Linked DNA regions of Lytechinus pictus. The protein of the gene in region 1 purifies or fractionates together with the protein of each later gene. This does not show direct contact. Links are inferred from orthologs where the notes say so. Each region holds a gene or a part of one and is shown on either strand. Other genes may lie near its edges. The genes, in order: ubiquitin thioesterase zranb1-like, CTTNBP2 N-terminal-like protein, E3 ubiquitin-protein ligase HECTD1-like and GRIP and coiled-coil domain-containing protein 2-like.

Region 1 (7,193 bases):
GAGAATGAGTGCTACTGCTATCTTGTTCAACTTTTACTGACTTCTAGCCAGACTAGCCCCCATCCATTTAGGATACAAGCCATCTAACCCCCCTCTCTCCCTGTCTCTCTCTCTTACATCCCTTGGCTTGGGCCCTTGTCATAGGAAGATGTGAATGTATAGTATGCTTGTATGTTGATTCTCATTTCTTTTTATTGTTATCTAATTTAACTCATGTGAATCTGGTATTTATATTGTGGGCAGATCTTGAATCCAGATATGCACACTATTCATATCTACAATTTGCATTATACGATTTGGGCCCTACATTGCATCCATTGTTGAGCTACATATAGGCAGGTAGGATGTGTGTAAATCCATAGGGCACTAGACATTAGGAGTAACATTAAAATTGGTCATTACATAACACATCTGTATATTTCATGCATTTCTTTGTGATAAAGTGAGTGTACAGATGTTAAAGAAAAGCCAGGAAGGTAAATTAAAAAGAAACCTTCATGTGCCCTACAATACAGGCTTCACGGGCCTAATCACTAGAGGCAGGCCATAGATATTCATTCGAGCCAACCCATTGCTATTTTTTTTATTTTGATATGGCTGATTAACAAAGTGTATGCATATGATTGTCCATCTAACACTGATTCTATTTTTGGTAATTATTGAACTTCCTTTTCCCAAATTGGGAAGAAATATCACCAATGTTGGACTATATTTTGACTGGCGGAAGGATTAGGGCTATTTTGCTGTTTGAGGTGATCAATCTGCTCCCCCCGACGGTGTCTTCAAACACGCCAATTTATTTTTAAAATGAGCCGGTCGAGGGACCCTTTTCTGGTCAGATATGGATTGCCAGATATATATCCTATCCACTGGTAGTAAACATTCGACCCCCGAATTTCACCCTTATTTTTTATGAATTTTTTTAAGTGCCAATTTAACACACGAGTCTATGGGGAATGATTTAGGCCTGTGATACCATATGGCAAGAAAATTTTCATTTTTTTATCTCTATTTTTAATTACGAAAAAAATAATTTAAAGAATCAAATTTACTTAAGAGCCAAGTTGTATGACGAATAGGTGTAAGGGAAACTGTCAGCATAAAAAAATCAAGCATTTGTCCCAAAGAAAAAGAGAAAATAAGCCAAACATTGCCACTCTTATTTTGCCACACATGGAGATTAAAGTTATACTGAGAACAAGGTTATATCATATACCTTGTTCACTGAATGAGTGCCCCTCCTCAATTCTTGACCCTATCCAGATCCAGGACCTTTCTTAGGCCTAGGGCTAGGCTTTTGCCTGGCGCTAATGCAGTTTCGCACCGGTCGATTACCAGCATACCTCATCACCAGTAACTGTTCACTAATGTCCTAGCAAGTCTCTCAGTCACATTTTGAGGTCAATATACCCACCGCTTTTCCAAATATCGCGATCAGGAACGGCTGCATTTTGGCTTCGCTCTTGACATCGTCGTGCGAATCCTCAGTCATGCATTGCTTCGCTTGGATTTGCCGTGCACCATATTCATATGGACTGAAGCAACCAAATCATGCGAACATGCTGCATTAGCAAAAACAAACTGCCGGCATTCCGCAGGCGAGTCTTGGTCGCTAATTCAGTAGTACTTAGTGACAGATCAACATTTTATTACGGCGAGCAGCGAAGCCAAGTGAAGCGGTGTTGGCGTTACCGATCGCGATATTAGGAAAAGCAGTCGGTACGATCTGTCACTACTGAATTAGCGACCAAGAATCGCCTGCGGCATGCCGGCAGTTTGTTTGCTAATGCAGCATGTTACTGTTTTGTTAGCATGATTTGGTTGCTATTCAATGCTAATTAACTTCAGTCCATATGAATATGGTGCACGGCGAATCCAAGCGAAGCGATGCATGACTGAGTGAGGATTCGCACGATGATGTCAAGAGCGAAGCCAAAATGCAGCCGTTCCTGATCGCGATATTTGGAAAAGCGGTGGGTATATTGACCTCAAAATGTGACCGAGACTGAGAGACTTGCTACATACAGTAGAGGCACACGGCCAATATGGGAGACTCTCTCCAATAGGGGAGACAATCTCCCACATTAGAGCTTTGCAAAACGACAAAAGAAACAACACCAACAAAAGCACAATTTTTTCCACCCAAAATTTTGTCTCGATGAGGTCAGAAGCCCATTTGTTTTGTGTGTGATTGACAACAAAAATCCTTATCAAAACAAAAGTAGACGGTGAATTTTTAAAGTAGACGGTGAAAAGGGGTAATTTTTCATGAGGAATCTGCTTATCACATTTTTATTTGCCGCCAAGGTAATCCTTTTGCAGCAAATGTAAACAAAGAAAATTGGTCTCCAAAACTGGAGACTGTCTCTGAAATTGGATACCCAAATTCTTTAAAAAAGTCTCTGATATTGGAGATAATCTCCCACATTGGACTTGGAGACAGTCTCCAATATTGCCTATTGGCCGTGTGCCTCTACTGACATACATTTGTGAACAGTGAGTTACTGGAGTGGTGGTGAGATACATTACATGTAATATCCGTAATAAGTACCGGTATGCTGGTAATCGACCGGTGCGAAATTGCATTAGCGCCTCTTGCCCAGCACAACACAGCAGCAGCGTAAAAACACAGAGACAAACATTGATAAGTAGGTAAAGCGAGCGCGAGAAAAGCACAAGCAACGGCCAGTAGCCACATCACATTGATTCACACAATAATTACGGTACCATACCTACCGTACCAGGTCCAGGCTACCGAATCTGTTGTGCAGACCCCGGTGTGCAGTGCAGTGCGAAATTATTATATTTACAGGCACAAAAAGCAGGCCCATCAACCATTCACTCTCCCACCAAATTATATTTTTTACAGTTTGAAAATAACTTTTAACATATTTTTTTCAACATACATAAAGTATTTACCTGTATATGAGCCCAAAATCCCGAAATTCATTAGATATTCTGTTGCTCATTCTGTGTTGTTTTTTCTTTCCTTTTAAATGTTGCCGATTTATGTAACCCAGAAATTGCCCCCAGAAAAATGAGATTTTGTTTATAAATATTCATAGAGATGTATAAAAAAATAAAAACCTAATTGAAAAATCAGAATTCTCCTTAAAAAAAATATGATGTGTTTTGAGAGTAATAATCCTATAAACTTGACTTGCAGGAATTTTGTTATTGTCTCAACACAGGGCATAGCTCAGCACGTCGGTCACCACTGAATTAAAAATACGTAGAATGCCACCCAAGCAAAACACAGCAGCGCAGCCAAACTAGTTACGTCAGGGGGGTTCTTCTTTTTATTTGGCAACCAGTCAATTTGACTATTTTCGTCATCATAAATATTATCAAAACAGCTGTCATATTTCTAGGTCAATTGCTCGAGCATAATCACGAAACATTCATTAGAGGGGTAGGACTGAAAATATTTATGTCTAAATAAATAGAGTAAAATTCATAGAGCGAAAGGCTAAAACTTTCCTATAAATCAGATAACTAAGAGCGAAGTTATTGAATTTGAAAGTCAAAGGAATGGCCCAGGCTGAAAATATCTATATCTAAATAACAAATCACAAAGCAATATGCTGAAAATTTCATCGAAATTGGATCACAAATAACGAAGTTATTGAATTTTAAATAATTTTATCAATATTTTGTGAAAACAGGCACATCGCCGGGCACAGCGTCATGAATATTCATTGGGTGGGCTGATGATGTCACATCCCCACTTTCCCTATTCTTATGTTGTTACATAAAATCATAAATGTTTCATTATTTCATACATGTGTAAATGATGTCTCTCCATTATGATGAAATAAGTTGCGGCAATAAATAACTAATGCACTAATCAGTTTTCAATCATATATTGTTTAGTTCTTGCTTGAAATTTTTTGAATAACCTAATTTCATATAATAAAATACACAAGAACAAGTGGGGATATGACTTCATCAGCTTACCCATGGGCGGAAATCCCAGGGGGGACAGGGGGGACGTGTCCCCCCTACTCAAAATAGTAGGGGGGGACACAATATCAAATGTCCCCCCTACTATTTTTGGTCTTTTATGATGGTAAGAAATACATCATTCTAAATCGAAAAAAACATGAATTTTGGGACGAGATGACCTTACTTTGGCGCTGATAACCTTTCTATTTGCTTGTCAAATTTTCCCGCCCCTTGTCTCCATAGGCGGATCCAGGGGGCCGAGGGGCCCGCCCCTCCCTCCCCCCCCCCCCCCCCCCTTGGCGGAGCAAAAAAAAAAGAAAAAAGGGAAAGAAAGAAGGAAAAAGGAGGGAAAAGAGAGGAGAAAAAGAAGAGAAGGACGACGAGTGCATAAAATAAGATTAGGGGAAGACTTGGAAAATAAAAAGAATCTTTCGTGCCACTATATAAAATTTGAGCTCGCGCTTCGCGCTCGCATTGCCTGTTAGGTGATTTACATATCTTGCTCAATATGGAGTTCGAATATCAAGTTTGGAAGTCAACATACAAAACATATTTCACCTCGGAAATCGAACTTTCATTATTTTGTGTAATTTATGAATTGGTTTTTAAAAAGTGCTCTGTAAAAATGTCAGTTTTATGGTCTGAATGTTAACATTTGCTGCTTGCGCTGCGCGCTCGGAAATTTTGGTTTATCAGGTACTATTTTCGTGTACTCCATAAAGTTTTTAAAATATCCCTTTTCAGGTCTGATTGTCAAGACGTATCAGCTAGCACGCTGCACGCTCGTATTTTGATTGGCGACTTATATAAATGTTTCAATATTGATTATAACAAACTACTTAAAATTCCCTTTTCATGACAGTTTATCAAAAAAATTAGCTCGCGATTTGCGCTCGCATTAATGGTAAAAAATATAATCACAAAAGTGAAATGTCTAGTTTTTATGCCATGATATCAGATTTCGCGCCCTCATTAGGCATTAATAAATATGATATTAATTTACTAATTCAATTGTCCCTTTTGTTTCATTTCGCGCTTAGCAAGAGGAATAGGAAGATAGTCATCATTTTCATATGATGACATGTCGTAAGGATGTCCCGGTCCTATGTCAAAACTCAAAGTAATAATAATATCAGCTCTTTTTTAAGTGCGATCCATATCCACCTTACAATTTTTCTTCAAAGTGCTTGAAATATAAAGCTGAAATTTACTCTTTTTTCAGATCGGAATATCAAAGTTTCATGATTTTCATGATTAAAGTTGTATTTAGAATGTCTAGATTCTATTGGTCTAAATATGAAACACGCTCGCTCATGTTTATTCAGATTCTCAACTTGTTCTCTAATTTAAATCATTATCCAGTTTCAGATCACAATATCAAAATTTTTCTGCTCGCTCTTTGTGCTCGCATTATTTATGTAGGAAGACCCCATATTACTCATCCTTTTGATGATTTACAAAACATGAACAAAGTGGCCCATTCTTAGGTCTAAATCTCGATTTTATTTTCTGCTCGCGCTTCGCGCTCGCATTAATCGTTAAGTTATATAGCTATCCTGTTCACGATTGCAAAAACTGATTATAAAAATTTCCATTCTATCTTTAGAAAATTCAAATTTTTTCAGCTCGCGCTTCGCGCTCGCATTTTTTGATTGTTGAAATATGTAACGCCTTCATGGCTAAGTGCAAGCAGTCCTTAACAGGTACCAGTTCAAAACTTATATACAAATTTTCTGCTCGCGCTTTGCGCTCGCATTATCAATATTCATCCTTTCCAGGATTTACAAAACATGAATAGAGTGTCCCGTTCAGTAAATATTATATAGGATTAAATCTCAACATTTTCCGCTCGCGCTTCGCATTAATTGTTTACTTATATAGTTATTCTGCCTGAGTTACAAAAAGTGCTTAGAATTTCCATTCTTTAGGTGAAAATGTCAAAAAATTTATTATTATTTGATTGGTAAATGCTACTTTAACCGGTATCTTTTCCATCAATTCATTTCTGCTCGCGCTTTGCGTTCGTAGTAATTATTAGGTTGTATGCACATCTTTTTCAGGATAACAAACATTGCCCAGAATCAGTTCAAATTTTAGGAAACATACATAAAATTTCCCAAAAAAATTAGCTTGCGCTTCGCGCTCGCATCATATAAATAAGGATTATGATATTATATATTAATTTATAAGAATGCTAAGAAGTGAATAATGAGGACTACCCCTTCAAAGAAACAAACAAAAATCATCTTCGAGCTGCCGATCGGGGAAAATATGGCTGAAACAAATTTCCGCCCCCCCCCCTCTATTGGCGAAGGCTGGATCCGCCCCTGTGTCCCCCTACTATTTGGGAGAGATTTCCGCCCCTGAGCTTACCTAATATATTCATAAAGACATGCCTAGAACTGTTTCACCGGAATATAATGCAAATCTTTAAAATTCAATAACTTTGTTATTTGTTATGGCTGCGATTTTGATAAAATTTTCGGCATTTTGCTTTGTGAATTTTACTCTTTATTTATTGAGATATAAATATCTCCAGCCTGGACCATCCCTTTAAGCAATATTTTGTGATATTATTTATATGCAGATAATGCACGTCATCATGAATATTCTCAGGGCCAGGGCGTAACAGGGGTCGGTGGCCAGGGGGAGGGGGCAAGAGCCAATTTCCCATATCATGGTAACAGGATTTTTTATGATTGTACCCGAGCATTATAGGTTGAAGCTCAATGCGTGATATATAGGGGCATAGCATATGGCGCACGCGGCAAAAAGATTAAAATAAGTCTTGAGCGAGCGAAGCGAGCAAGAAAAAATCACATTTTCCTGACAAGTCTGAGATTGATTTTTACAAGGAGTATTCAGAAAATAACATCATATCTTACATCTTCCTTTTAATTCCTTTCATCTTTTTTTCTCGGTTGTAGAACTTTATTTGGGGGCCAATTAATGCTATGTGGATCGGGTCCAGGGCAGTGGTGGCACCATGAATTTTAACCTAGCTAGGGGGAGGCAAAAGCATAATGGTTAGTCGGCGTGCATTTGACTGTCCGAAAGTCCACACTCACAGCTGCAACACAGGGAACAGTGGTTTTTTATGAACGTAATATTGCAGAAATCTGGATATATCTTTACAGGGGCCGCGGAAGCGGGGGGGGGGGGCTGGGGGCTTCAGCCCCCCCCCCCCCCACTTTTTTCCAAAACCTTGTACAAAAACGTAAAAATGACCATATGATTGTGATTTTTAG
Region 2 (7,123 bases), on another chromosome or scaffold:
TTAGGAAATGTCGTTCATCTGCTAATTTTCCTTATCAGCCTTTTCTGTCACTTTTTTCTCCAAGCCCTTCAAAACTTTTTTTTGTGAATGCACCGCCTTGTCAGTTGTCAATCCCCCACTTTCATGGGGTATATCACCATAAACTTGAAGACTAATGACTTGTAAGGAAGCTGGGATCTCTAAAGGCTTCCCAAATTTCTTAGACTACCAATCTTTCCTCGTTTATGTTCCGTTCCCTTCTACCTTCATTTAGCCCGCTTAAATAGCGTTATCTGCATCATGCAAAAACTGCGATAATGATGTACAATTTCCTACCGATGCTGAAATATACAGCTCAAGAATGGTTCGCATGTAGACGAATAATTCAAATAGTGATGCATGTTGCTTTATTAATCAATGTTTATTGAGGTGAATCCAGTTGTTAATGATCAAAATGGTCTGTTTTGTTTGCAGAGCCAAATTATTTGAACAAAATAATCCATTATCATGCACAAATTATATTTCAAAAATAATTAAATTCCTTACAATTTTTTTGTAAAGAACTTTTGTGATATAATGATGAGCTGCATGTATATACAAAGACTGGGCACCAAGTAGTATACAGCTTTACAGCCAGCATAGCTTTTCATTCAGTCCGGGGGGGGGGGGGGCGATTCACAACTATAACCATGTTTGATATCAATGTCAATCTATTTAGTTGGTGCCGTTTCTGTGCATTAACCTAAATGTACATAATGAATATCAAAACAGGTAATACATGTCGCAAATGTAAATTAATTTTTGTACATGTCATGGAGAAAATGTAAATTAAATTTTGTAATTCAGGAGATTGATATCTTGATGTGGTATTAGAATTTGAGATGGACACCAATGCCAATATAAAAAACAACAACAACTCTTTGTACTTTCTGAATCAAGTTCCAACAATAGTTACTATAATTTATGTTTCTTGTTTAGCAATACATTGAGGAAGAAATCACAGTATAGAATTACATGTATAACAGCATGATTGGTGAAATACTGTACATGTAATTAGATCATTTTTTTCAAATCAATGAACATCACTTTTTTATCACATTGTACAAAAATCTCTATGGAAATCACACATTTTTAAAAATATCTATACAATGATTATGATATGAGTGATATTATGAGAGCAATAATATGCAAAGTGTGTGACAATTTTGAATGGGACTGTATGCAACTTGATAGCCATGCTCGATACGCTGTTTAAAATAATTCCCTCCCATAATGTATTGCAGTAAAAAAACTGTGACTTAAGAAAGCAGTTCTTATCCTCACAGAATACCCCAAAAAGCTGAAAAGCAGATAGTCAAAGTCAATATCTAATATAACATTTTGAGGAATAACTGTTTTTAGATTTCTGCTAATTGACATTTGATAGCGCTGCTGTACTACCAAAGGTTTGCCAAGAACGATATCAACCAAACATCAAGGCTAGATTCTGGAAACATCTAATCTACACTAGGTGCATTCAGACTGCCTCGAGGACCAGAATATCTGTTAAATTACGAGAACTTTTTCAGGCTAAAAAATAACTGATGATTATAGCCCTCATTCATACCTACCCGAAACAGACCCATTCAGGCTAAGTTCTCGACGTAACGAGCATGCGCAAGATGGTCTGATTAACAGGTACATGTAAAGGCTTTAAGTGTGTTATTCAAATTCACTAGCTCAGCAGCCACCTATGGCGCCCAAGCCCAACTACACATTGGCTTGAGAAAGTTAGAAATTTGCTTTCATAATGCAAAGACTTGGTATTCCCCGACTTCAAGGTGATCTGAATGCGCCTGCTGAAGATGCTAGAAGGTAAAGGTTATTGCGCTTAGATCAATATTGGTTTCCTGAATGCAGTGGTATAAACAGGACAAGTTGGAAATGACAGTTGTTGCTTGATAGAGGTGTTAATGACATAGCGCAAAAGGCACCGGTGTCTTAGTTTCAAACAACACCAGCTGCAGCATTATGATTGTAATTGACACTTGGCATTAAGACATGTCTTTTGACTCTATTAGAATGCTAGTCCATACGGGTCGAGGCGAACACACTTTAAAATGTGCAGTTGCATATTGTAAGGCTGTTCCCAGCAAATTTTTCTTCCCATTTTTCACTTAGCAATACCAAACTCAATGGTTTTGATACTTGAAACTCAGTGACAAGAAAATATTTATTTTGGTTGGGAGGGCAGGGGCATTGTTCCATGTTTCACAATTATAGAGGGGGGGGGGCAAAAGTGAAAAAGGCCAACAATTTTTGGCACATGCTGTGCACAAAATTATGATACAGAATTTTGCACACCAAGCACTCTGAAAACTTGACATTAATGTATGTTTAATAGTACTTTTGCAAAATTTAAAGGTTCTATAGGGCTAATTTCCAATGCTTCCCCCCCCCCCCCCATTCATGCCTCTGTAGGAGCAGCTACTCCGTCGAGATTTCCAAGGGAATTATTAAATGCTAAAGAAAATGTTGAAAACAATAAGAGTGAAGAAAAGCCCAAAGAAATTCTTCCCCCTAACAGTGAGAAAGTGTAGGCCTACACACTATAAATTCAAATTTAACTTGTAAATTTCATATGCTGACAATATTTTCACAAAGAATGCCCTGATCTAGCAACATCAGGGATGTGTTTCAATAAAAAAAAGATGAAGGCGTAGTAACAGTCAGACACCTGTGCTTCTCAGCCAATCAAAATCACTGAAATTTGTCAGACAATAAAAGTTGATGAAAAACTTTAAGAACTATTGCAGTGAGACAACTCACTTGGAATCAGAACATGCACGCATATATTTATGTAGTCTACAGAGAAAATGTGAAAGGATCCTGCAATTATTAAAGCCATAGCATTGATCTGGACAACTTGACATTGAAATTTTCACTCACCTTCAGGCTGTTGATGACCAAGTCCCTGGCTTGGAGTTCTGCCTCCAGTAACCCTAGAAGCTTCATCAAGTCAGCCTTGGAGAACTCCATGATCCCCTTCTCTTTCTGATGCTTCTGAAAAGGAAAGACAAGAAAGAAGAAAAAGGTGAGAAAGGAATGACAACATTAAGAAAATGTATGAAACCTCGGGAAAAATCCAATCGGCTTGATACAAATCATACAATACTAACAAATACATTATTATTCAGCAAAGACTCACTTTACCAGGCGTACAGGTTCATGTAGGAATCCAACAATGAAATATTCTTCCCCTGTATGATTACGTCAAGGAGATGCATGGAAAAGAGAATCTCCTTTGTTTATGTCAAGAACTGAGCTACTGTGGGTACCTAGACATTTCATTAGTCATCCAAACAAGGTGTGCAGAGTATCAAAAAGGGTGATATGCTGGTAAACCAACCACACAATCTTTTCATGGAAAGATGAAAACCAAACATGTTTATCAACTGAGTAGATAAAAAGGAACCTTCTAAGTTTTTTTGAATGACCAGCTCAATTCATCATCTACATGTATACACAAGATATTCTATTCAATCCATTCCAATATGCTGACAACCAGTCAACCAGAAATCCTATTGATGTAATAGCTGCATGAATATTAATACAAGGAAAAGGTGCCCAGATTAGAGTACACTAAAATCACAGAGAGAAATTATCATGAACTGTTGTCATCATAAAATCCAAACAAGATCAAGATCTGCATGACCCAAGGTGAGCTGATCATCAAAGAGGTCCACAGAAGTTTTTCGAATCACAAATTTGGACAAAGATCCTTTGCCCTACACACACTGGACAAACGTACACACAGTGACTGAATCAGTCATGATGCAATTGCGACGCACCAGTCTTTCAAACGTGCTGCAAGGCACTGTGCAAAGTCATCACTAGTCTCAAGACTCTTAATCAGGGCAGCATATTGTGAAACAAATCATCAGTGACTTTTCACTGACAATTTTTTAAAGAGCTCTTCTGCATTTCTTGCATTCGATCAATAACACTGTATACAGAGGTAAACAAATCAAGTTTGGGTGTACGGTACGCTTTTTTCCAGACTGTACACAAAATGTTTTTCAGTGTACAATATGTTTCTGTTGTTGCTCCTGCTGCAGCACGTGTAGCTGAAAAATTAAGATTCCCTGGATTTCACAAAATGACCTCATCAGCTGCATTCTAAATACCATCATAAATCCTGAGATTTCCCGTTCCAACCCTTATGACTGCTCCTTGCCTACGAACGGAATCCCCCTTACAATGAAATGAGTCACAAACACACACACATAAATGGGGACACTAGAGATCTATAATCTCATATATTCAGCACCAACATTCAACAAAGAAAAAAGAAATTATGCCCATATCTTGCAGCGAATATTGCACGAGCAGAATTGTAAAAAAAGATGATGCATTTTAATGAGTCATATGATCCATATCGAGTGATTTGTCACTCTAGCAACAGCATTCCTAAGTCAGTATGCATATACAGACAATGAAAAGAGTAAGAATGAATAACTACTGGTACGGTAATAAAAAAAAATGGTCTATTAAAACAAATAATTCATTGCAAAAAGATGAATCAGAATGATAATTGCTGTACAGGCCTATTATATCAAATCTGTTTTGGGACATTTCATTTATGGTCAATTAAAATCTGGGATATGAAATTCTTTGTAATTACAGGACTTTGACAGTTGACAAAATATGGACCTCCCCCCCCCCCCCTCCTATATAAAGGAAATCTTGGATCTGCCCTGCAGAATACCATGGGGAATAGGCCCAAATACTAGTTCAATTCTCCTGCATAAAAGGACATTAGAGCTAATTCATTCACATCACTCATGCCAGTTTGATGGTAATGAAGCTTTGAACATGATGAAATTCTATTTATATTGTACATATTGTAGTCCCACATGTATGGACTTTCATGTAGGATGATCGAGAGTGGCATCAACTAAGAACGATCTTACGAATGAAGAAAGAAGGGAATATTCTTATTGATAGTTTCCATCTATTTTAAGAAAATGTGGAATATAGATGGGCATTTAATGGATGTTAAAATGTAAAATGTGAAATTTCATCAACTTTTGTGATGGCTTTTTTTCATAGAGTCTAATGGTTTTCAAAATAGAAAACATATAAATGTTAATGCTAACAGTCGTTTAAACGCTGTTTAAACGTTTGGACTCAGCCCCTACATGTATGTATACGAAAAAACATCAGCATTACACTTGTATATGTATGCCTGCATTCAGTACTATCCCATCGATACAATGAACATGGATGGGGAAACATTGACATAGGCCAGGTCGAAAACCACCTATAAATTTAGGCCTACATCATATATGTTTTAATGCAGCCTGAACCAGGGAAGTTGGACCATGGAAAATTAGGCCTATAGTATATACATGTACATACATGTATGTAGTTGACTTGAGTGTCTCATTAAATGTAAACGTGTGAAGTCTTTGACACCTTCCTATCAAATCAAATTTACAATCCTATTTCCTTATACAGCTAAGGTGTTAAAGACTAGCTAGGTGGCTTTAGATATATTACTCCATAAAATCTACCCCCATCTTTGTTGGACAAGAACCCTTTCTCTATTGAAGTGTTTGTTTTATGAGTCATACACTACAGGTTCCCTAATGAAATTTGATATTCCACGACTGTGTGCCCTTTCACAGTGTACAATGTCAATCACAAAGTAAACCATGATTATATTATACCCTTTTTACACAGGCTAAAATTTCCTTAACCCCGTACTATAGGTGGGGCTAAATGGCAATTTAGCCCCACCTATAGTACGGGGTTAAGCTTAGCCCACTTTCTTTTTACACAGCATTTTTGCAAAGTGGGCTAACCCCACCTTTAGTACGGGATTATTTGGCCTTGCAAAAAAGCAGGGTTATCCCAGCAATTGCGGTGCTAAGAGCGATAGTACGGGGTTAAGATCGCTGGGGTTAAGATCGCTAGTGTAAAACGAAAGTGGGCTAAGCTTAACCCCGTACTATATAGTACGGGGTTAAGGAAATTTTAGCGTGTGTAAAAAGGTACGAGTGAAGTACTTGTACTACGAATGATCGACAAAAACCACTAGTCCGGGGTTAGCGAGTTTCGTGTGTGAAAAGCAAGCATTCCTTATCCGGGGTTAGCGATAACAATTTGGCATGTGTGAAAAGGAAAAAAACATAGTACGGGGTTAAGGATAGTACGGGGTTAGCGATAGTCCGGGGTTAAGAAAATCCTGTGTAAAAAGGGTATTAGCCTAGTGTCTGTCTCGTGGCCTTTTACTGTCTATCTAATGGGATATCTGACTTACAATGTATGGGGTCTATCAAGACTCTTTTGGGGATAAATCCTGGATCCATCACTTTATACCCCCATCTCACTAGATGGCGATTCCACTGCGATCGTCAAAAATCGACAAAGCGTGGTATAACGTAGCTTGATCGTGCCTTGATCTTTTCAATCTTCTCCGTCGTACCTTGATCTTTTCTGAAGCGGCAAGGATCGCCACCATCTTCCTGGTCGCCACAAAATTTTGAACATGTTCAAAACTTACGTAGCGAGATCGCGGAGGTGCTAAAGCGCATCACAATCGAGTCATGAGCGTATTACAAACGACATATTCGTAGCTGTAACGGAGCCCCAACGCATAAAGCGTAGTATAAGCGCATTAAAAGCGGCACCGATCGCCCGTGGTTTTCAGGCCCGTTCCCAAGACAATTCTGCTACCCTGCTTCCGTTTACAAGGCGACTGACTTGCGCTTGACACGCTTCACACAGCTTCCACCACGACGCTTTCTTCTTTGGGTGGCAAGTGGCACACGTTCTCAGCCCGCTACAGGCGTTCGCGTTGCACTTTTGCTGCGCTGCTGATGACTGGGCAGCGATTGCGCAACAACCGTCCGCGCTGCTATAAAACGCTGTGCCGATGGTGGCGGATTATCATATTTGCAACTGATTACGAGGCGATACCACGGCGTTTTCAAACATACCTCCCACAAAAAGGACCAGAAAAGGGAAAGCTGCCCAAGCTACCCCTCTTAGGCCGGCGGGTTATGGTGGTGGTAGAGGAGGAAAAGGAGGGGGTACAGGAGGAGGATGAAAATCTTACTGCTGAGCCAGCTGGAAAGAGAAAAAAGACGCTCACATGTCT
Region 3 (7,200 bases), on another chromosome or scaffold:
CTATTTACGGAAAGATAAGGGGATTTGTGTAAATTATAGATTTCAAAGCTCTCTGCCAAGGTGCCCCTCCTTCATAATGCCTCTGGCAATCAAGATTAATTTTCCATCATGAAAGTCCCCCATGACTTTATAACACGATGGCATGTTTGGCACAAAGAAATGGTTTATATTCACTTGGTCTACAAGAACTTGGTCTACTACATGTACTCAGTTCAGTTTAATACCAAATAGGCTAAACCCTTTGGTCTACTACCAATTTGGTCCAATTGCTGTTTGGTCTACTGCACTTGGTCTAATGTCTACTTAGTTCAATCTTACAGAAGATTAATGCCCAGTTGGTCTAATGTCCACTATTCATTTATAGTTTTTACTTTGTTAAAAAAAAATGAAAATTTGATTCAGAAAGAGTTTATCTGTTCATATTGTATTAGACCAATACGAAATGAGTAATGTATATTAAACTGGACATTAGAAGAAATGTTAAATGGGCTTTGAAGTGGTAATTAATCAAATGGTAAGTAAACTAATAAGTTGTAGACGAACTACATGTAGGAGTAGACACCATGTGGGATTAGACCAAATGGAAAGTAGACAAAACAGGTGTAGACCAATTGGCAATTTACCAAGAATTTAGTATAAAAGAAACCATTACTCAAGGTACATGCACGTTTACCTTAATGCATTGTTCAGCTAAATCCTTGCTGGTTCGACAAGACAGCTCGACAACAACCAGACGATTGCAAAGGGCCTTAACAGCGCCATCTACAGCCACGATCCTACGAGTGCACTCCGCTGAGACATCCAGGTAGTAGGTGATGGCTCGGGCAGTGACTTCCAGTACGTTGTCCGGAGCATGCTCGTCAAGAAATATACGGCACAGTGCGGGGAGAAAGGTTCTAGGTGGACAGCTGAATAAAAAGAAGAAAATAAAACATATATTTTACACATGACATTACAGGAATATTGTTACTTGTTCATATTGTTCGCACGCTATAACAGAAACACCTACAATGTAGCTGTATCAAGTGCCCTTTTGTATCATCATCATCATTTTTTTCAATGTCCTACCTGTATAACTGCAATTTTGAAGGTAGTTTTGATAGATGAATTTTCACTCTTTTTACAGTGTATCAAATGCTTATGAAAATGTGACAAATGAGTAGAATATTATGACTATAGGCCTTTATAAAATATTGTTTTTACCATGCTTGGAATATGTAGCACGCATACATTATATACATGTGCATGCAAACATTTGCAATGCCCATATAAAAACATTTTAATATAATTTACATCACGGTTTTACTCATCCAGGAACATGCAGCTTTTTATTACCATCTGTATCATATAGAATGAGCAAACACACACAAATAGATAAATACAGTCAGTGATGTGTAAATATGAGTACTGAAAGAAAACTACACTGTATATGACTCAACCCACACATCTTTTACCCAAACAATAATGAAATATGTCCATCTCTATACACAGCTTACTACATGTACATGTATAATGTACCTACTGTTCCTCTGATTGTTATAAAAGTTTGTTAGAGTGCATGTTCATGTACTCAGTAGATGATGTTGGTAATGTTCATGCCATGTATAAAGTTAGGCTTTACTGTACAACATATTGTAAGTAAAGAACCAGAGGATTATTGTTAAATTTTTTTTTGGTGAATAAAAACAGGAGTTTGTACAGTGTAGTTTTCAAAAGGCACTTCACTTATATTTTCTATCCACAATCTTCCAGTAACATAGCAGCCCCCCCCCCCTGCCTTAACATGCAATGTACTGATGTACATATTGAAGACAATATATTGGTGGTATTTAACTAAGTTTAGGGGAAGTTCATCCTGGCGATAAGTTGGTTTTAATATGGATTTTCAAAGTTTTAAATTATGTCCTATGTGAGCAGCTCCCTATACATGTACATTATTCATGCAACAACTTCCATTTAACAGATATGATGAATAATATTATTTTCTTATAGCCAGGGGTATGCCATTACAGGTACAGGTGTACATGTGTCTGATGATAAATCCACTGCATAAATGAAATCAATTATGACTTTTTTGAGAAAATGCAATTTGGTGGAATTTATCCACAGCTATACAGAGCTGCTCGTTTGTGACATCATAATTTCAAATTAAAAAAAATCTTTAGTCTGTTTCAATTTCTTTCACTAATTTTCATCAATCCTTCACCAATATCTTTCTCTAAATTTTTCCAGTTTTATCAGGGTGAAATTACCCTTAAAAATGTTTTGAAAATTCTCTCAACATTATTGTGGTACATGTACATGTATCAACATAAATAGGCCTACATGTACATGTAAATATATGAAAAACAGAACTACATGTAGTCCCATAATAAAACCATAATTCATTATTTTGACTGAGTGTCAATCCAAACCATTGAAAGTTGACAACATACTTGCGCATAAATACATGTGCAAACGTAAAATCAGAAAATTATTTAGGCATCATAATAAATGATTCTCAAAACTGGAATGACCAATGCACGGCTTTACATTATTATATATAAAGATCCAACAAAATAATGGGAATTATTAGAAGGAATGTTGTTAATTGCCCAATATCCATTTCAAAGTCTTTTTTAAACATTCGTTCACATAACTTAGAATCATGTATGGGATCCCCACAGAATAAATACAAAGACATGACTGAACGCATCCAAAAGCATTACGTAAAGATAATGTCCAAAGACTGGACTTCAAGTTATGTGTTATTAAAACAAATTAATATGAACTTATTAAAAAAAGATGTAAATACCATCGGCTTGTTTTTTTTTATTATAAGATTGTACTCAACTTGATTAATGTAGGAGAAGTAAACACTGTAGGTCACAGAGCAAATAGAATAGGAAGAAATTATCACACTTACATAAGATGAATGTTCCATTTGCTAGTACAGATTATTATATTTCTTCTGGTAGTAACATGTAGCAATCAATCACTTGTTGAAATTAGACACTTGAAATATCATTTATATGCAATTTTAGTATTTTTAAGAATTAATTGTTGTCTCCCTACTGTAGTTTTCATTTGGAACTTCAATCTATAATATGATATGCCTTGATATATGTTGCCTATTTGTATTCCTATCTAATGTCATTGATTATGTATTTTGTTTTATATTGTGGGATGCCTACTTGTATGGGTTTTTTCTAAACCTTGTTTGGCAATCTAAGATATGTAAAATTTGTCTGAATGAATTCAAATCAAATCAAGTGCAGCACATGTCTTCAAAATGTTGTTTTCACTCTGCTTTCAAATTCAAGGTCACATATTTCCACCGAAACTGCCTTCAAGTGAGGCAAGAGTGGCAGCTGCAGCAACACCTAATTGCCAATTTACTTCCCTGCGTGCTGATAAAGTGCATATGAAATTTATGGACAATTTTTTCCCCCATGCAGGCGCACCTTCAGCATATTTCCCCCACCAGACACATTTTGTACACAGATGTTCACAACCAATTACGGGATATATTTGTTTACACCGTGGCCAACATTTTCTCACAATTTATTACAATTTATGAAACTTAGATGTTTCTCAACATGAGTTCACAGTACCAGTATAAGTATTTCTTTTTTTTTTTTCATAACTGGAATTAAGAGACAGTGAAAGAATATTGATAGCAAAGGAACAATTTATTCTGCTGGCAATCTTTTGCAATTAAAGTTAAATAATCTCATTTTGATAAGATTATTATTTTCTAAAATCATTATTCATATTTTATATTAATAAGAATGATGAGCAAATTGTCATAATATATGTAAAATGGTATTTATTTAAAAAAAAACTGATAACAATTATATATTGTTCATCAACACCAAAATATATTAAAACTGACAAAGTGACTAACATAAATTTTGTTAAAATTCTTTTACAAATTACATGTATAATCCTTCATTGTACAACGCCTACTTAGCTTGTTGTACGCGAGCAAATGGGAGGCTGAATGTCAAACATTCGTACCGTTGCACAAAAGACGTACCATCCAAAATGTACCGTCCAAAATGTACCGTTGCACGGCTTTAGGAGGTGACGTCACAATACGATTTAATTCATTGCGCTCGGTAAAAATGAACAATACGCGTATAAGCCAGCTGGCTAAATGCGCAAGGCTGCCCACGGTAATGTGCGCTTGTGGAATTTTGCTTTCTGCTTTCGGTATTTTTGCTCCCTTTTCATAGATTACTATAGGGATAAACTCTTTGTTTTTTCATATTTTCGCTAAATTCCGAGGCGTTGTACAACACAAATAGCGAATATCCTTATTCGTGCAATGGTGCGAGATTTCGCATTCGGTGAAAGAAAGAAACGCTCTATTCAACTCGGCTCACGCCTCGTTGAATAGAGCATCTTTCTTTCACCTCATGCGAAATCTCGCACCATCGCACTCATGCCTATTCGCTATTTGTATATTGTTCATCCATGTTTGCTTTTCAAACATTGTTTTTCTCAGCATGAATATTCCCTTGCTATGATACGATAGTCAGAACATTTGGGACACATTGCAATTCAATTAATGATTGAGTCATACAGACATGAATACTTTGTCACAGGAATCCTGATCGCTCCCTGGCAATTATCCAAAACATATCATACAATGATCATCATGATGCGCAGTGTAAAATGTAAATTATGTACATTGTGGTTTGCTTTGTTTGTAAACCTGACTTTGTAAAAATTGAGCTACATACGTGTACAGTGTATTTCCAGCACTGAGAACAAAATGAAAACTCTTTTGACATTTAGAATCAGAATGCCAACTTTGAACGTATACATCTTGAGATGATGTCATGTGCAAAATCATCTTATCCATATTGTACTGAGTTTATATTCTACTTAAAAAGAATCTTAGCGTACACCTGTACTGTACATTGTATAGTATGAAATGGGTGCAAGAAATTGCCTAACCATTGCTTTCACATCATAACATGTCTATTAGGGCAATTTGACGCCTGCCTTCCGTTCTCTTCTCGCGACTCGCTCAATGCCCGCAGCAAGGACATGATGTGAATGTGAATTAAGTCCTTGGATGGCAATGCCGTGTCTATGTTGTTAATATAAATAATTGTGATAAATGATAATGGTACAGATCTTTAGTTTACTCATAATTATTACAAGCATAAAGTGAGACAAACAAATCAATGAAAATCGACAAATGCAAAATGGACATGAAAGTAATATTCTAAAAAATAATATTAATACAGTTCCTTGCGAGATGAAAATACTAGGCAACTGTCTTTTTCTTTCTTATTTATAAAAAAAATGTCAAAATGATTTCACCCTGCGAATAATCTAATGCATCAAATGTTACAGACTGATATCTCTTCATAGTTTTTTTTTCAATGTTTTTCAGTTACTAATAGCCGTATGGGTACTAGTATTCAACCCGGCATAATTCAAAGATTTTGACATATTCCCCAAAATATTTAGAAATAGGGAATTTATCTTAATTTCATACCTTTGTTATTTCCAGGGTAATCTGTTGTCGATATTTTCTTTGTCAATCTGTCGACTGTATGCGCGGAGGATCGAATTATGCGGCGATGGCCTTTTGCACTGAATGGTACTAGTATTCAACCTAGTGAGGATTGATAGCAAATCTCAAAAGGGTTTAGATTGCTAAATTAGATCTAGATCTATGTAAGTCTCTGGCTTTGATTAATTCCCTGTTTGGTCTCATCTCAAATGGTCTAGTCCTTAGTCGGATGGGACAAGGGCAGATTGAGAGACAGGGCCATCTTTCATCGCTAGGTTGAATACTAGTGCCGACGGGTTGAATACTAGTACCAAAATCCGTCGCCGTATAATTCGATCGCCCGCGCACACAGTCAACTGGTTGAAGAAAAAAATAACGGAAAAAGAATAACCAGCATTTGCTCTTGGAAATAAGACGGGTCTGAAATTCAGGTAAATTCTGTATTTCTATATATTTGAGGAAACTCTCCAAACGGGTTGAATACTAGTGCCCTTACGGTACTTCATTAGTTCATTGTATGGCATACATAAGGGAACTTATTTTACAGGGCCTATTTTAGTTTCCTTTTTTCATTTTCAACGATAAATTGGTACATATATGTACAGTATGTTGTTTCTTTTTTTAATTGAAAGGCATTGTAGTGGTATTCTGTAATATCTTTAAAATTAAATGTATTTCATTTGTATATGATTGCATGCATTTTATATAGGGCTACAATATACAGTAATAACCTGTTTTTAATGGGAATATGAAAATAAATCATCAAACAACAACAGGCTACTGGGGAAAATTGTATTCATTTTTTATAATCAATTAGAAATTATATTCAAATAATCAGAATTCATAAGGGGGAACAGCTAGCAAATGACATCACAAAATTAAAACTGGGTTTGTGCGTTTGATGGATTTAAATGTTCATTGTGTTTGTTAGCTAATATATTTTCCTCCTTTTTCTGGGGACCGACATAATTTCAAGGCAAACTTCCTCTTTAAATAAAACCAAGCATCTATTTTCATGAATTATTTGTTTGGAACCCCCCTGGTAGTGTGAGATATTATACCCCTATATGCTTAACCTCTTGTTTTCCTATCCCTGTAGCCACTCTTGAGCATCAAAACACAAACATGAATTGGTATACATATGTTTACAAAACATTTAGAGAAATACAGTGTACATGTACATGTACATACTGTACTGATTGACTTACAAACTCCTTTGTTAAAAACTAGCAGTCACCAGGACTACATGTGATCATACATGTACATGTACATGTACATGCACTTGGATTATTATTTTCATTTTACATGTACCGGTACCTGTGCAGTAGTGCTTAAATACTAGACAAACAAAACCCCAGAAAGCACAACCTCAAGATCATTTTCACAAGTTACGCAAATAGTAGGCTAAAGCCTAATTCACTGGGTTCAAGAGATACATGTAAGAAACTTGGATTAATAAAGATAACAAAAATAAAAAGTTTTACTACATGTACTGTAGCTTGTTTAGATGAAAGCCTATAAAGATGCTACATGTAGACCAAAATTTTATGACTCTATATGAAGTGCAAGCATTTTTTAATTTGGATTGGGTTGTCTCCATTGCATCAATACTACATGTACAGTAGACCGATCATGATCATGACACAAAGCTTTGTCACAATGAGGGGATGATAAATAGCTGATTTTGA
Region 4 (7,306 bases), on another chromosome or scaffold:
ATTCGTCATGATAGCACAAATATTCTATAAGATACAGTAAATTTTATGTTTGGTAAGTGTAAACTTTTCTTTGAATTTCCTGGGTGTATGTAAACTTCTAGCCTCAACTGTATATAAAAACTCAATTTTATTTCAAGGACCACAACTCTGGAATTCTATTTCTGTAGACATCAAGCAATTAGTTTCATTAAATGTTTTTAAGTCAAAATCAAGGCAATTTATTTTAAATAGTAATTCATAAAGTTTGTTTGTATAAATTTCATTCAGGCATTATAGGCACCCCCCCCCCCCTTTGTTGTAGTTTAGTGATTTTTTCTATCTTTGTTATTGAAGTATTTGTATAATTATTATGTTATAGGGTCAGCTAATCACAAGGCTTGTTCCTTTCTTGCTGTCCCTATCATATTCAATCCAATGTTTATTTCTATTTGTTGTTGTTGTTTTTTCTATTTTGTGAATATGATACTTTGTATATGTATGTCTTTGTATGGATTTTTATGAGCAAATAAATTGAAATTGAAATTGAATTGAAATTGATATACACTCACTGTTGCCTCTGATCTAAGCAGAAGATGACAGTCCATACCAAGTTGTCTGCTTGCCACAGCTGTTGTTCTGCAGTGATTGGATCTTACCCCACCGCACGTGATCACGGTATCACAACCCTGGCTGACTGCATCTGCCAACAAGAATTCAAGCTTACGAATCTACAGAGAGAAAAGAGGGTAATATATTCAGTACATTGCCTCTTGGTTTACACTAGACAGCTGGCAGCCGTCTGTTTCGAGGAGTTTTTTAACATTTTTATTTTATTTATCCTTGTACACAGACGGCTAGCGATCGTGCAGCTGCCGTTAGGGGATTAACAATGCAAAATCTCCCCGATGGGGCTCATTGATTTTTGTATTTATTTCATAAAATATATAAAAAGAACTAGACAAAAATAAAGATTATTATTCCTTTTTGTCCTGCAATGCACCAAAACGGGGAAAAAGTAAGCTTAAAAGGACAAAAACGGTGATTTACTTTGGCTGTCACGCAACTTCACTTCCTTGGTTTATCCGAACTTAATACATTAAAACATACGGCCATTGAGTCCCTGTACAGATCGAGTTAGAACTTCGGTCTCTGTATTTGGTGAGTGGAGCCAACGGAGTTCAGCGGAACAACCAATTTAACAGAGACCGAAGCTTTTGGTCTAGGTATACACCTGCTATGTCTCCTTTCTGCTTGGTCTCATCTCATATGATCTGGGACCAGTGACACAAAGCTTAGCAATAATTGTAGAACATTTTTCTACGATTGATTCATTTGATTACAATGGACAAGCAATCGTGGAACTCAAGCATACGATTGATCACTAATCTTTGTGTTACAGGACCCAGCTTGTCTACTAACCTATTCGGTCTAACAGCCATTTAGCTTTTTTTTCAATTAGGCTATACCGTTTTGTTTATTTGGACTAACAAACCTAGTCAATATGATAAGATGAACTGTTTTTTAATCAATTTGTTATTTATTAGTAGACAAAATGGAAATACGAACATCTAGGAACTTAGACTAAACAAGAATTAGGCCATTAAAGTGGACATTAGACCAAGTGTACTGTAGTATAATCAAAATGGCAATTAGCCCAAATGGATTTGGCCCAAGTGGTATGAGACTATATTAGAAATAGACCAAGTGAACAATACAATTAACTTCTACTAAAATTCTCATATAAAACATAATCATACTTTACTATAAAAAAACAAACACAAAAAAATGATCTGCATGAATATCATCTCTTTATTACCGGTATGCACATGTCATATACACCATTATGTGCATTTCTATATGAGTAATTGAGTTTATAAGAATAAAACAAATACCCTTTCTAATTTGCTTTAATATTAAATTGAATTTCTTGCAAGTAGAAACCAGTGGCAAAATAATTTAAGGGGGGCTGAATTTTGTTACAGAGACTATTTCTACAAGTAAAAATAAAGTGGGCAAAAAAAATCAGGGTCTTTAAACATTTTTTCTTCACAGATTTGGCCTCGATTTTTAAAATGCAAAATAGTTAATCTTGCAATTTACTCTGAAAGGAAATTCCCTTAAAATCATGAAAAACAAAATAAATTGTTTTGATGAAAATATAATTTTTCAGGATTTTTGGATGCAACTGAAAGGCAAAAAATACCCAATTATATATGTGAGATTTTACCTTATTTCCTGATAAGGAGCTCCCAGTCATGTCATCTCTTTTGATGAATACTTCAAAGTTTGTTGGTGTTCCAGGAAGATGCCATCTATGTATGGGTGTGTTCAGCATGGCAAGCTAATAAAGAAGAAATTTAATAATCTTAGTCTCTAAATCAATAACGTTGTGTTGCGATCTTTCACAAATCATCAATGCAGGCATTGCTTACCGGTACTTAAATCACATTTTCATGAATTTGTAAAAAATTGGTAAACTCTAAAACATACAAGTCGTTTCAAGCAAATTTACAAAAGATATGTCATACATCATACAACTAAACCAAAGAAAAAAAACACTGAAAGTAATGATTCATTATCTCGGAATCCAAATTTAATTTTTTCTTTAATAATTGATCATAAAGTCTGTAAACTTAAAAATGTCCATTTTAGTAGACCAAACTATGGTAAAAAAAATAGAAATGATAATACTGGTCAACCTGATATAAAAATATATATTTTTATTGACTTAAAATGAGCCGAGTCTACTAACAGGAACACTGCATAAGCTGACTAATAATAAATAATCGTTTGCAATAAATTTTTACAATTAAGACTAAGTCTACATCTACCTCAGATCACTCATTCAACAAACAAGGTTATGATATAACCTTGTTCCCTGTTGGCAATGTTTGACTTATTTTTTCTTTTACTTTGGAACAAATGCTTGATTGTTTGACACTGTCAGATTCCATTACAGCTAATCATCGTATAACTTGACTCTTAAGTAGATTTGATTCTTTAATTATTTTTTTCTAAATTAAAAATAGAGATTGAAAAATTACAATTTTCTTGCCATATTACTTTCCACCAATAGAAGGGCATACATAAAAATATGCCCAAAATTCAAGTTTTTGAGCGCTCTGGTGAATACAAAAATTATATTCCCAAGTTACTAATGAAAAATAAATTTCAACTACCGGTATATGGATATTAGTAATTTTGGTCAAAAAAGTGTTATTTTAATGATTTTTAGTGTGTGTTGTGTACTGCATTGGCATACCATTTAAAGTTTTACAATTGAGACTAAGTCTACATCTACCTCAGATATATTATCTTGATTCATGGACCGAAACTTTGTTCTCTCATGTCTCTGTATGGTTGTTTTAGCGAGATATTAACTTCCTACACTACATCACAAAATTAGTATTAAACTTTTTTTCCCATTGAACTCGAAACTTCGATTAAAATTTTGAAAAAAGAAGGAAATATTAGGACAGGTTTTTAAAAGATATTGCTTCAGGACTATTCACTATTTTGTGATGACCTAGGTTAAGTTAGTCGAATCCAACATATTGGCCATCAAAAGAAATATTTTTTTTTTTTAAGAGATAGAATTAGAAGTTAGACTTGTCTTACTTAGACTTAGACTTAAATTTTAAGTACTCTATACTAGTATAAGTCTAAAAAAGACTTGTCTGTTAAAAAAAAGCCCATCATACTACCTCTATTCTTTGCTTTGGAATGTTCTGCATTTTTTCCATCCATGGCGCTGCGGAGTAACTCTTCAGAGGAAAACCATCCATCAGTGCTTCACCTTCCGATGCAAGAAGTTGAGAAGTTGTGAATGTGACTGAATAAGAATTTGATGTTGGTCGCCGAGGTATGCGACAGGTATTCAAATGCGTGGGACCGAGGATTGAAAGTTTGCGTAAAATGTTGTCCCCCTGTGGAAGTGTTCTCCAGAAAGGAACTCTATCGAAAGTTAACAGATAATTCGGAATGAATTTCCAGAATATAAATGGTTGTTTTATTCGTGTTGATAAAATCATCACTGGTCAAAAAGGGGGAAAATCTTAAGATTTCGAAGTAGTGAAAATTTCCTTTAAGATTTTTATGAAGCACCAAACGGTATGCAATGTTTTTTTTAGATAGTTAATGCTTATATCTACAGAATGATGACTCATTCTTTATAATTCAAAATGTAAGACAAAAATATATATCGAAATTTTTTTATATTTGAATCAGCTTATGTAACTGACATTTTTCATTAATTTTATCATCAAATTTTAATATATTTGGAGAAATTTACTTCCGGGAGCTTCCGATTCTTTAGCTTCCCATACAAGGATACAAACAAGAAATTTGGCCACGTAGAAAAGCCTGCAACTTGATGGGTGAGATTGTGTTTTACTTGTCTTTAATTCCATAAATTTCTTATCTACCTTTGATGATTATTGCATATTGTGTTGATGAGAATATTTAGATACATTTTAAATTAGCTGTGTTCGTGTTTTAACCAAACAAGTACGTTTGAAGAGCTGTGTGATGAATGTGTGTTGCTGCGTTGCGCCCGCCACTGCAGCGTTTTGTTGATGTGAGAGTGCAGATGCGATATGCGCTGGCTCCCGCAACTCCCGGCTGGCATGTCGCTCGGGCTTCGCTAATTTCTAACTGTGGCTTTGGAATTGGGCGTGCCTCTAGCCAGGCGGCTTCTTGAGAGTAAAAATCATTTACTAACGTAGGCTTACTCTAAACGAAGCCAGGGAGTCCTTCCTATTCATCTGCGGGCATTATCGTGGTTTATGTCACCAGTCCATTCATTGCCGTTTATTTCGTCAGCGGTGGTGACATCTTTCCACTTCCATTGACTTTGTACACAACGTTCGCACACACACCGACACACACGACAAGAGAGGTGACAAATTTCACGATAAGGCCTCTGCGTGTACCGCAAAAAAACCCTGAAACTTTCGCCCCCGAGATTTCTACTTTCCTTCTAAAAGATCTAGCTCTAAATCATGTACATGGGATAAGTTACGTTACGGACGTGAGCGTCGCGTAACGTTGGGGAAGTACAATAAGAAACAAGATGGCGGCGTAAACATCGGGCAAGTCTCTTCCGTCTTTTCACAATATTTTTTCATTTTTTGATGAATTCTTGTTTAAAAATAACAACGAGAGCGTAGAAATGTCGGAAATGAAGTTTTATCCCATGTACATCATGATTTAGAGCTAGATCTTTTAGAAGGAAAGTAGAAATCTCGGGGGCGAAAGTTTCAGGGTTTTTTGCGGTACACGCAGATGAATAGGAAGGACTCCCTGGCTTTGTTTAGAGTAAGCCAGGGGTGTGAGAGTTCAGATTTTTATCTGATTTCAGATTTTTTTGTTTTGATTTTCAGCTTAATTTCAGCTTATTTTTGGCCTTCCTCTGTACAAAAAGTATGGGAGCTCTTTCTATTTCAGACTTTTTCAACACTCTTCAGCTATTTTCAGATCTTTTTATTTGTGACCACTCACACCCCTGGAGTAAGCCTACGTTAGTAAATGATTTTTACTCTCAAGAAGCCGCCTGGCTACGTGCCTCCAGTTAAACGCTTTCTCAAGTTTCAATGAATTTCCCCATAAGTGCTTGCCAATTCAATTCATCATGTTCATCACAAGTATAAATCATCAGTAGAGGTGCTGGTCCAAAAATTGGGATTGTCCCAGAAAACAAGGATATCCTCATCATAAACCAAGACAAATCATGTCTTTGATAAATTGAGACTGTCCTTGTTTATGGGGACGTTTTTTTTTTCACTTCCCCCTACGGGACAAAGACATCAATTACGGGAATTGAGAGTGCTAAAAATAGATTCAGTGACCTCAATTCCCCCACTGCCCCAGTTCACCATCTATTTTTCATGACTTACAGTCTTCCAATATTCTTGTTATGAAACCTGATCTGTTTACATTGACTAGCGCACTTGATTGGTTTCGGCACTTGACAGGTGAATGAACTTTTCCAGATTTCTTGTGTGGAAAAATCTTTAAACTGGGACGATCCCAATTTTCTAACCAGCGCCTCTACTGGTGATATGAATATATTTACCAGCCAGCGAGGCGCCAGGCCCAGGGCAGGGCTTGACACTAAAATTTTTGGCAAGAGCCAAGACGTAGTCGTAGCGTAGCAAAAGAGCAAAGTCAAGTCAAAATTTCCATATGTACCCCCCACTAGCCAGGAGGCTCCTAGAGAGTAAAAATCATTTACTTACGTGTGCTTACTCTCCATGGAGCCAGGGATTGCGTCCCATTCATGTGCGTGTACTGCGAAAAAAACTGAAATTTTCGCCAAGAGATTAAGATTTCTACTTTCCTTCTTAAAGATCTAGCCCTAGATCATGTAAATGGGATACAACTTCATATCCGACATAATGATATTTTATTTTTCAACAAAAAAATTATTGAAAAAGGGAGAAAAATATTTTGAGAAGACTGGGAAAAAACTTGCCAATGCATACGTCGCCATCTTGTTCTCTTTGTCCTTCGGCAAGCTCCGAGACGCACATCCTCTGAATTCTGATATGCGTCTCGTAGCTTGGCGAAGAACAAAGAGAACAAGATGGCAAACATCTGCAAGGTTTTTCCCCGTCTTCTCAAAATATATTTCTAGTTTTTTTAATGAATTTTTGTTTAAAAATGAAATCAATATCGTATAAATGTCGGAAATGAAGTTGTATCCCATTAATATGATTTAGGGCTAGATCTTTTAGAAGGAAAGTGGAAATCTCGGGGGCGAAAATTTCATTTTTTTTAATGGTATACGAACACGAATGGGATGCAATCCCTGGCTCAGTGGAAAGTAATCACACATTAGTGAATGATTTATACTCTCGAGGAACCTCCTGGCTACCCCCACAAATGGAGAAGGTTCAGATCTAAAGTTAGCCCTAATATAGAACGTATATGATGGGGGAGTGAAAATACATACCAAAATATGGCTTTATTCCGTCAAATTTCAAGCAGGATATAGAGCGTGTAATTGTCCATAAACATCGGTTTATTTAGTCAGTAAAGTGTCTGTGAGTCTAGATTAGTCGAACTATCGTCTGAGAATCGTTAAAATACCCCTTCCTGTATCAGCGCTTCTTGCTAGCATAGCGGGAAGAGGTCTTGACTGCAGATAAAGCGAGGTGAGTTCGAGTCCCAACTGCGGTAGGCAACAGTAAAAAAGTGATAGAAAAATCTGAAGTGAACGAAGCGGAAGTCTCATCAATCTTTTGTTGTTTTTGGTGGGGGTGCATATGGAACTCTTTCCAAATTTTTACCTGTGCATGGTGAGGTGCCGGAGTTCATTTTGGCCGTG

Evidence for each region.
Region 2: the proteins of ubiquitin thioesterase zranb1-like (region 1) and CTTNBP2 N-terminal-like protein purify together in Homo sapiens (affinity purification with mass spectrometry; 4 studies listed by BioGRID and IntAct, with this or other methods). This does not show direct contact. The link is inferred for Lytechinus pictus from reciprocal best matches to the Homo sapiens genes ZRANB1 and CTTNBP2NL.
Region 3: the proteins of ubiquitin thioesterase zranb1-like (region 1) and E3 ubiquitin-protein ligase HECTD1-like purify together in Homo sapiens (affinity purification with mass spectrometry; 5 studies listed by BioGRID and IntAct, with this or other methods). This does not show direct contact. The link is inferred for Lytechinus pictus from reciprocal best matches to the Homo sapiens genes ZRANB1 and HECTD1.
Region 4: the proteins of ubiquitin thioesterase zranb1-like (region 1) and GRIP and coiled-coil domain-containing protein 2-like purify together in Homo sapiens (affinity purification with mass spectrometry; 3 studies listed by BioGRID and IntAct, with this or other methods). This does not show direct contact. The link is inferred for Lytechinus pictus from reciprocal best matches to the Homo sapiens genes ZRANB1 and GCC2.

The regions. Positions count from the first base shown.
Region 1 is NC_087256.1:1,015,454-1,022,646, forward strand, and holds the start of ubiquitin thioesterase zranb1-like, read right to left. Parts: upstream 3,014-7,193; 5' UTR 2,920-3,013; intron 1-2,919. UniProt on the Homo sapiens protein: Ubiquitin thioesterase, which specifically hydrolyzes 'Lys-29'-linked and 'Lys-33'-linked diubiquitin. Also cleaves 'Lys-63'-linked chains, but with 40-fold less efficiency compared to 'Lys-29'-linked ones.
Region 2 is NC_087247.1:2,833,103-2,840,225, forward strand, and holds the start of CTTNBP2 N-terminal-like protein, read right to left. Parts: upstream 3,023-7,123; 5' UTR 2,998-3,022; coding exon 2,908-2,997; intron 1-2,907. UniProt on the Homo sapiens protein: Regulates lamellipodial actin dynamics in a CTTN-dependent manner. Associates with core striatin-interacting phosphatase and kinase (STRIPAK) complex to form CTTNBP2NL-STRIPAK complexes.
Region 3 is NC_087251.1:34,599,231-34,606,430, forward strand, and holds the start of E3 ubiquitin-protein ligase HECTD1-like, read right to left. Parts: upstream 3,008-7,200; 5' UTR 674-3,007; intron 1-673. UniProt on the Homo sapiens protein: E3 ubiquitin-protein ligase which accepts ubiquitin from an E2 ubiquitin-conjugating enzyme in the form of a thioester and then directly transfers the ubiquitin to targeted substrates.
Region 4 is NC_087260.1:21,965,650-21,972,955, reverse strand, and holds the start of GRIP and coiled-coil domain-containing protein 2-like, read left to right. Parts: upstream 1-4,278; 5' UTR 4,279-4,355; intron 4,356-7,306. Other genes in the region: uncharacterized protein LOC129279614, read right to left, coding at 549-707, 2,207-2,320, 3,684-4,010. UniProt on the Homo sapiens protein: Golgin which probably tethers transport vesicles to the trans-Golgi network (TGN) and regulates vesicular transport between the endosomes and the Golgi.